2 linked regions of the Bombyx mori genome follow. The main gene of each other region encodes a partner of the protein of the gene in region 2 in a complex. Links are inferred from orthologs where the notes say so. Each region holds a gene or a part of one and is shown on either strand. Other genes may lie near its edges.

What was found.
Region 1: the proteins of gamma-tubulin complex component 3 homolog (region 2) and gamma-tubulin complex component 4 are in contact, whole or in part, in a cryo-EM structure (PDB 7QJ0), measured with the Homo sapiens proteins. The link is inferred for Bombyx mori from reciprocal best matches to the Homo sapiens genes TUBGCP3 and TUBGCP4. Residues at the interface, in NP_006313.1 of Homo sapiens: Arg252, Asp253, Tyr256, Gln259, Ile261, Asp262, Lys264, Arg305, Ser312, Leu313, Arg315, Leu319, Gln322, Ser323, Cys325, Ala326, His329, Arg333, Tyr336, Arg337, Ser340, His343, Ser344, His424, Pro425, Tyr593, His595; in NP_001273343.1 of Homo sapiens: His35, Pro36, Ser37, Glu38, Ser40, Val41, Arg44, His116, Leu117, Ser118, Ser120, His121, Tyr124, Phe125, Asp127, Gln128, Leu131, Pro134, Lys159, His160, Cys162, Gly163, Gly164, Leu165, Pro166, Arg169, Leu630, Ser631.

What each region holds. Positions count from the first base shown.
Region 1 is NC_085125.1:5,625,242-5,629,429, reverse strand, and holds the start of gamma-tubulin complex component 4, read right to left. Parts: upstream 2,801-4,188; 5' UTR 2,695-2,800; coding exon 2,632-2,694; intron 2,400-2,631; coding exon 2,273-2,399; intron 2,158-2,272; coding exon 1,860-2,157; intron 1,402-1,859; coding exon 1,224-1,401; intron 555-1,223; coding exon 349-554; intron 184-348; coding exon 57-183; intron 1-56. UniProt on the Homo sapiens protein: Component of the gamma-tubulin ring complex (gTuRC) which mediates microtubule nucleation.
Region 2 is NC_085121.1:10,746,061-10,749,560, forward strand, and holds part of gamma-tubulin complex component 3 homolog, read right to left. Parts: coding exon 3,326-3,500; intron 209-3,325; coding exon 1-208. UniProt on the Homo sapiens protein: Component of the gamma-tubulin ring complex (gTuRC) which mediates microtubule nucleation.

The DNA of each region.
Region 1 (4,188 bases), on a different chromosome or scaffold from region 2:
ATATAAAGACTAATAAAAGTTCATTTAAACATCAACTAACAAAAAAACAATGTTACCTTAGTTACACATTCTTTAATCTCCCTTATAACACTTCTCAGATTATGAACTTCAAAATTATCTGGATCTTTAAGTTTTTGTAGTTTCTCATGAAATTCAGATTCTTTGTCCTCCCAAATTGTAAACCTGCATAATTTATTATAAAATATGTGCTTGATTTTCTTAAGAATTCAGATGCACAAATAAAACCAAAAATAATGAAGTATTTGTACATGAAATTGTTAATTATGTAGTGTGACCTCACCCCCACTGTCACCATCTATATTCATAATAACATTGTAATTTCTTTACCTTCTAGACTCAATTCCATACTTTTTCAAAGGCAACATCGGTCTGCTTGAAGCGAAGCCACTGTGTTTTTTTACTTTTTTTGGATCTAAATCGAAAAGTATTACAGTTTTTCCGATAAACAAAATTTCTTGTGCTAATGACAATGGCATGAAATGTGGTATCAGTGTTGGATTGAGTGTGTAACCACAACCTAATGTCTCCTGCAACTGAAATAAAATATTTTTATATTACTTAGTAAGGTAGGTATGGATACACCTATCTCACCTGATGACTAGTAACAGGAAAGTCCCTGTTGTAATAAAAGAAGCTGACTGGTCATTCTACCTATCACTTTCTGTTAGTGTCGTAAAAGGTTACTTTGAATGGGTAGAAGCATTCTCCGGGTATTATATCATAGTAGTGGGATCGCCGTGTACTTATGGTACGGCATATTGTACTCATACAGGTAGGTACTATCATACCTTTTATCTTGAAACAGTCCTGCAGACAATAAAATTGAAACTTCTGATTTCATGTCTCAAAGGTGGCTGTAGCATTCACATTATGATGTCTAAGGGCTCGGGTAACTACTTAATATCAAAAGGGCCCTTATTGGAATAAAAAAATAAGAAGTTGCTTAAAAATTACCATTATCAGGATCTGTCACACATTGGGGTCCTAAGATAAATATGATGTAAATAACATGTTTATTTATAAATGGGGCTCACATATTGAAGACATAAATGAAAATATAATCATGCAAATAATTGTTACTCTACCATTTTGTGTCATCTTAAGCCGCTTTAATTACTTTACAATATTACCCTACGTACATAATTATCTTATATATTATTATCTTTATTCATATCTTTACTAAATAAAAAAAATAAACTTACTGTAGAAACAAGAGTTTTGTCACAGACATTAGAAGAAGATGGTGTTGACAATAAAGTTTCTGACGAGTCATCTTTTCTTTTTGATATGAAGAACTCTTGATACACATCCTTTAATTCCCCATAAAGAAGCCAAGTACATAGTTGATGTATGAATACTTTGTTCACACTTGTAAATATTCTGTAATGTTTAAAATTACTTTTAAATATAAACTAACAGAGTTCCTTTTTGGTGTCTAATTTTTTAAATGTATAAATAATGAAGAATAAATTAACCATACACACATCTTCTAAATAAACTAATACCAAATAAGCATTTCTAGTATTATCATTGCTTTTAGTATGTTATATCCTAAATTAAAACTGTTTTTAGTAAACACATGCATTTATCATTATCATTATCTTGTTTCAGGCATTTGAAATCATTTTCAGTTTTCATGCTTAAAGATGAAAATAATATAAGACAACAATAAATGCAAGATTAACAAGATTACAATTATTTAAAAATTAATATGACCACAAATTAAATTAACAAAATTTAGAGCTTTTCATTAAAAATACTTAGTAGTCTGTAAATACTGAAATACTTTAGTCTATATAATTATATAACTATAAATATCTCAATACTTGAAAACTTACTTCAAAACGGCATCATGAATCGACTTGTTGCCACTTAAAATATATTGATGAATTAAACTCAATATCTGACAGCCCATTAATCTCCTTTCTTTAATAGTTGTTATAATTCTGTTCAATGTATTGAACAGACCTTGATATTTCTCAATGTAACTATAGACATATGATAAAGTGTAGTTGTGATTCCCTATTACTAGAGATTCAACTTCTACAAGTGTTTTCTTATATGATAGTAGGACTTCAGTGATGCCTTCACTTAGTGCTTGGGTATAGAGTCCATATCTGTGACTGTGTGTTGTTGCTGCAATTAATATTGAAGTTTATTTTACAAATTTGTTATAAAATGCTATTTGATTCTAATGGAATTTCATTAACTGTAAATAATTATTACAGAAAAGACCTGTTACTATTCAAACCTGATAAAGCTTTTCGGGATTGGAATCCAGTCTCTTCTACAAAGGATTGGATTCTATGATGGCTCTTTGCTATCTCACTTAATCTACCATAGATTTCAACATCACCCTCATTCGCATAAGCAAGGTTCTGCAAGAAATAAAAAAGACAGGATTACAATGAACAACTGTTATTTTATCACTTTGATTTAATACTATTTTGCAACCTTAGTATATGTCTAATATAAACGTAATCCACCTTTCAATATTATGAAACAGTATACAGTTGTTATTAAATTACAAATACAGTAGTTTAATGGCCAAAGTATGTATTTTTATAATTTAATTTAATCTAAAAATTATATGCATCTACTTGTACATACCTCTTTTTTTTCGATAGCATTTTCAGATGAATCCCAAAGAATTAATAGTACGTCATGAATCATGGTTTACCAAAAAATAAATTAAATAGCATAAGGACCAGCAAAACTTGTGAAGTTTTTAAAAGTACGGTTTTATCGGTAGGTAGGTAAACAAAATTAATTGGATACTTTTTTTTAAAGATTGTATGGCCTGGTAACGAGACTTTTAAGCAAACTCTTTTTTTCGTAGTGTCTAATCTAATCTATTTCTATGGATTAGGCACTAATATATTACTACGACAACAAAAACGTAGTTTGACACGTAAAGTAAAATTAGAAGTGGCGGGAGCATCGATGTTAATTTGTTTGAATCGTTTAATTTTGTCACTTTAATTTTTTACCAAGTTTACATGAATGGTAATTGTCGTTTATTGTGTGGTAAAAAGAGTCACTTTTTTTTCCTACCTAATCCGTATATTTTCTTACATTAATATTAGCTATTCCGTACATTTTTTTCCTATAATGATCTTGAAGTCTATGCCAGCTTAATACAGTTAGATGGAACCTCGGGGCTCATCTTGAGAGAATTTTGCTCACAAGTGCTACTAGTACCTACATTTTATTTATTATAGCTCAGTAGACATTCAAATTTATGGACTCCAAGAATACCAGTGTGAACATTTTTTTTTCCCTACCTAAGCTGATAGCCTTGAGAGGCTATTTCAGCGGAACCTTAACTAGTAGGTGAGCTCACGGGGCTCAAACCTGACGACGTTGCTAACACGACCCCTAGCAAGAGCCGTGCTTCGCAGAATCTACCACCGGATCGGAAACGCGACCCACTGAGAAGATCCGGCGAGAAACTCAGTGGACTGTGTCTGAGGGTTAATTTACTCGTCGAGCCCTTCGTCGCAAGCGATGGGTTGGACGAGAACGGTGACCGATGTGTGAACATCGAAGTCTACGAGTATATATAGGTCTACCAGGATCTAATGGCAAAAAGGGAAAAAAGAAATTGACGCTAGCAGTATTGGGGAAATTGGAGTAAAACGTTTTGATACTTTGGTTTTCTTATAGCGGCTGATTCTGTGTGATACATGCAAATATAAAAATTTATGCAATGATCAAAGATTATTTTTGAAAATCTTACTGTGTCGAATGTGGGGTTCGAAATTTAGATGAAAACTCCAATTACTCTGTTCATGAATTTATTAATTAATTATAGGCTATTAGAATTTGAAAATGGTTCCAAATACTGCACATCCATAAAAATTCTTCATCGGAAGAGGAAAACGAGGAAGGCGCAGTATTTTTGCCACCTTTCCTTTTTTTACCGGGCGTACTAAATACGCCTCTGTTAGATCTGCCTTCAGCAACAATTCGTCTTATGGTAGTATTAGAAACACCTGGTATAAGCCAAAGTTTAGTACACATAATACACACGAAAATGCAATAAACCAAAGTATCAAGACGTGTCATTCCTACTAACCAGTCAACGCTTGCACATGGCTCAATATCGATGATTGTCTCTGTTCTGTACCTTGTTCATCAAGTATTCTTTGATAAACATTGAAAACA
Region 2 (3,500 bases):
TGGTGTATCATGGCGTGCACGGAGTGCTGGTCGAGCGCGCGCAGGTGCAGATGCAGCAGACGGTCGAGGTCGGTGCGCGAGGCGGCCGCGGCGAGCAGCTCGGCCCAGTCGTCCTCGGCGCCCGCGCAGCTCGCCTCCTGCAGCGCGCCGCACACCCGCAGCGCCTCCGCCCGCACGCAGCACACGCGCCGCATCACCGCCCACACCTCTGTCACAATCACGATTAAACCAACATTACATCACTTTTTTCCTTCCTATGCCTATGTATATCGACGCTTGAAAGGCAAACGTGACTAAGCGAAAATGCGTGAGCTTTACAGTAGACTAATTTAAAGTTGAAATACCTGAAAAATAAATATATTTTAACGAATCTAGCTGTAGGATTGAAATGATTTTAATAGACCTAGAAAGAAATTTTTTTTTGCGCATCGAATCATTTATGTACAAAGCAGTTATAGTCGCTTAGTCACGTTTGCCTTTCAAGCGTCGATATATCTAGCCTCGAGAGGCTATTTCAGATTCTCCTTGACGTGTAAGTCGTGACGAGCTTACGGGGCTCAAACCGGAGTAATGCTAACACTGGCCCTAGCAAGAACAGTGCTTTGCAGAATCTACCGCGGGATCGGAAACGCAACCCACTGAGAAGATCCGACGAAAACTTAGTGGGCTGTGTCTATGAGTTAATTTACTCTCCGAGCCCTTCGTCGTAAGCGACAGGTTCGCTGAGGACGGTGACCGCTAACATTGCTTATTGTTTGGAAAAAAAGAACGGCGGTATCAGTGAGCTCATACCAACAATAGTCAAGTTTCTTCTGTCTGATGTTATTGCAACTTGTTAAACAAATACTTATACAAACTTATTCTTTATTACAAAAGTTATTCGCAATGGGTTTTGATATATAAAAATACCTACAACTACGAATATATTTGGGCGTTTTGGTGAAAACACGAGGAGCGAAATTATCTAAACAGTCTTATTTTGTTAATTTAAATTTTTTTGAGTTTAAGCATGTAATAATGGCCTTACTAATCTTTTAGCATCTATGAAAATGTATAAGTTTCGGAAAATCAAACAAAGTATCTAGACTATCTAGATCTATCTAGATACCTTCAAAAATCTCAACGAAGTCTTAGTAAACTATCATCATTTTACTGGGACGTTATTTCTTTTCATCTAGATTCATTCCATTTCATAAATAATTTTCATTTCATTCCGTTCCATTTTTCATTTAAAGTACCTATATATTATGTAATTAGTACATTGTGCAAGTACAGCATTGTGCAAGCAAGCACAAGTTGTGTGGCAAACACGCTCATAAAAAAACCAATTTAACTGTTTTTTAATTTGTAAATAAACTACTACTAATTGAATAAGAACTGTCTGATGAACTCATCTTTGTTTAATACTTCACTATTAAATTTTATTGCCTCTTGTTTATTTCACTTTTACACTAAACACAATATTGCAAATTACCCGAGCACAAAAATGGCGGAGAATTTTAGGTGCGTGAGAGCAGACGTAGACACTAACGCGCATGCGCACTTGTACCCAGGGAGAAAACGTTACACTTTCTTCCCTGTACAGCGGGAGGAAAACCGAACTTTCGGCGTAGGTACCGTACAATGGGGTAAATAGGGACAAAATCGACCTTCAGATTGAATTTTAAAATAGTTCCAATTAAATAGTCACTGCTCAACCAAAGAAATAAGTTGAGTCTTGAACGTACCTAGGTGATAAAAACCGTTACATTATTTTAATTATTCATTTTAAAGAAATAATCGGTAAAATAATGGCCGTCCCAATTTACCCAGCGTCCGGGGTAAATTGACACGGTTAAGGGTTAAATTGGGATATTTGTAAGGGTTGTCAACTCGCAGTACTGCGATATATAGGTAGGTGCCATATAATTATTTATATGGACCGAAATGATGAATACAATCCATAATTTAAGCACAATACACAACATAGTGTAAATTAAGCTGGTTTCTATTCCGAAGCGATGTGACGTGAATGATAATCAACAATACAATGATCAAAAAAAGTATTTGCATGTTATATTTTAGAAAATTATTATTAAATTTCCTTAAAAATCACAACTCTGAAACAAAATCATAAAATAGAATAAAAAATAGAAAACAAAAGGACTGGAAATGCAATAATACAATTTTATTTAATCAACATTTTCAAAATAATCTTTGAGCAAGAGTAAGATATCAGGTGAATAAGATAAAAAAACAGCTTTATCTGATTACTGCCCATAATAACAAAAATAAAAGAAATTCTTTCTAAGCGAAATAACTAAACTCAATTAATTCACTCACTCATAATTGGATATCTCGGATTTTTAATTAATGTTACATTTAAAATCTGAGGCCTGTTTTTATTTGTGTGTGTTCGTTGTGAATGTTAACAAAATCATGATTCGATGCGTGAATAGATTCTAAAATAACAAAAGTTTTGATTCGTTTGAGTTCTTTTAACTTTTAATTTTTTTTATTGCTATAAAGAACATACGACCGGGCAGATATTACAAGGTAAATGTCGCGAAAAAAAAGTAATTATATATATACTTTTCTTTTACCTATAATACTTACATAAACTAACTGATAAACACATTAACCTTCTTTACATCACGCAATTAAGGGATAGTATAGGCTAAAAAATCTATTATAAGATATCAGTGACAACCCTAACAAGCCATCCCTATTTTGTCTTTTGGCGTTCCAATTTTGTGTTTTCTCGTCCCTAATTTTTCCAGTCTCGTTCCAAATTACCCTACATACGTCCCAATTTTCCCCAAAAAGAAAGGAAAAAATATACATTTTTTATTTTGTCGAAATATTGTATTTAAAATAAGAATATTGCAACTTACCGTTTGTTGTGGTATTTCCAGGTGTATTAAAAACTTATCTAAACTGTGATCTTATTGAAAAAACAACGTTAATATCACTTTTTTTAAAAGTTCTTTAAGCTGTTTTAAAACGCACTTTTTAACCACTATTTTAAATTTAATTTGACGAATTTTTGGGACCAACTTAACTCATGTTTAGTACTTCCATAGTTAACTTGGTTTTTCTTCTATACATTGATAAATATTACCTTAAAGAAAATTAGGTAGATTCCGTGCTACAAGTACTTTAAGAATCTTCCGCAGGTTTGTCCCAATTTACCCCAGGATCCCAATTTACCCCATGTCATGGTAGGTGAAAAAATATTTTTTATTTATAAAATCGACACTGGCAACAATGCCATCGCTAGAAGCTAATTGCCAAACTGAAAAAAAAAAAGAGTACATTCGCTGTATACACAGAACGTGAAACTGACCGGGCATGTGTTTGAGTCGCTTGTGCAGTATGGTGTGTTCGCGCCAGGCGTCGTGCAGACTGTACTCGATGCGCTTGACGCGCCAGAGCTGCGTGAACAGGGCCCGGTAGCGCGCGGCGCACGTGGCCGGGAACAGCGTGCCCAGCGGCCCGTCCACGCGGTACTGCAGCGCGAA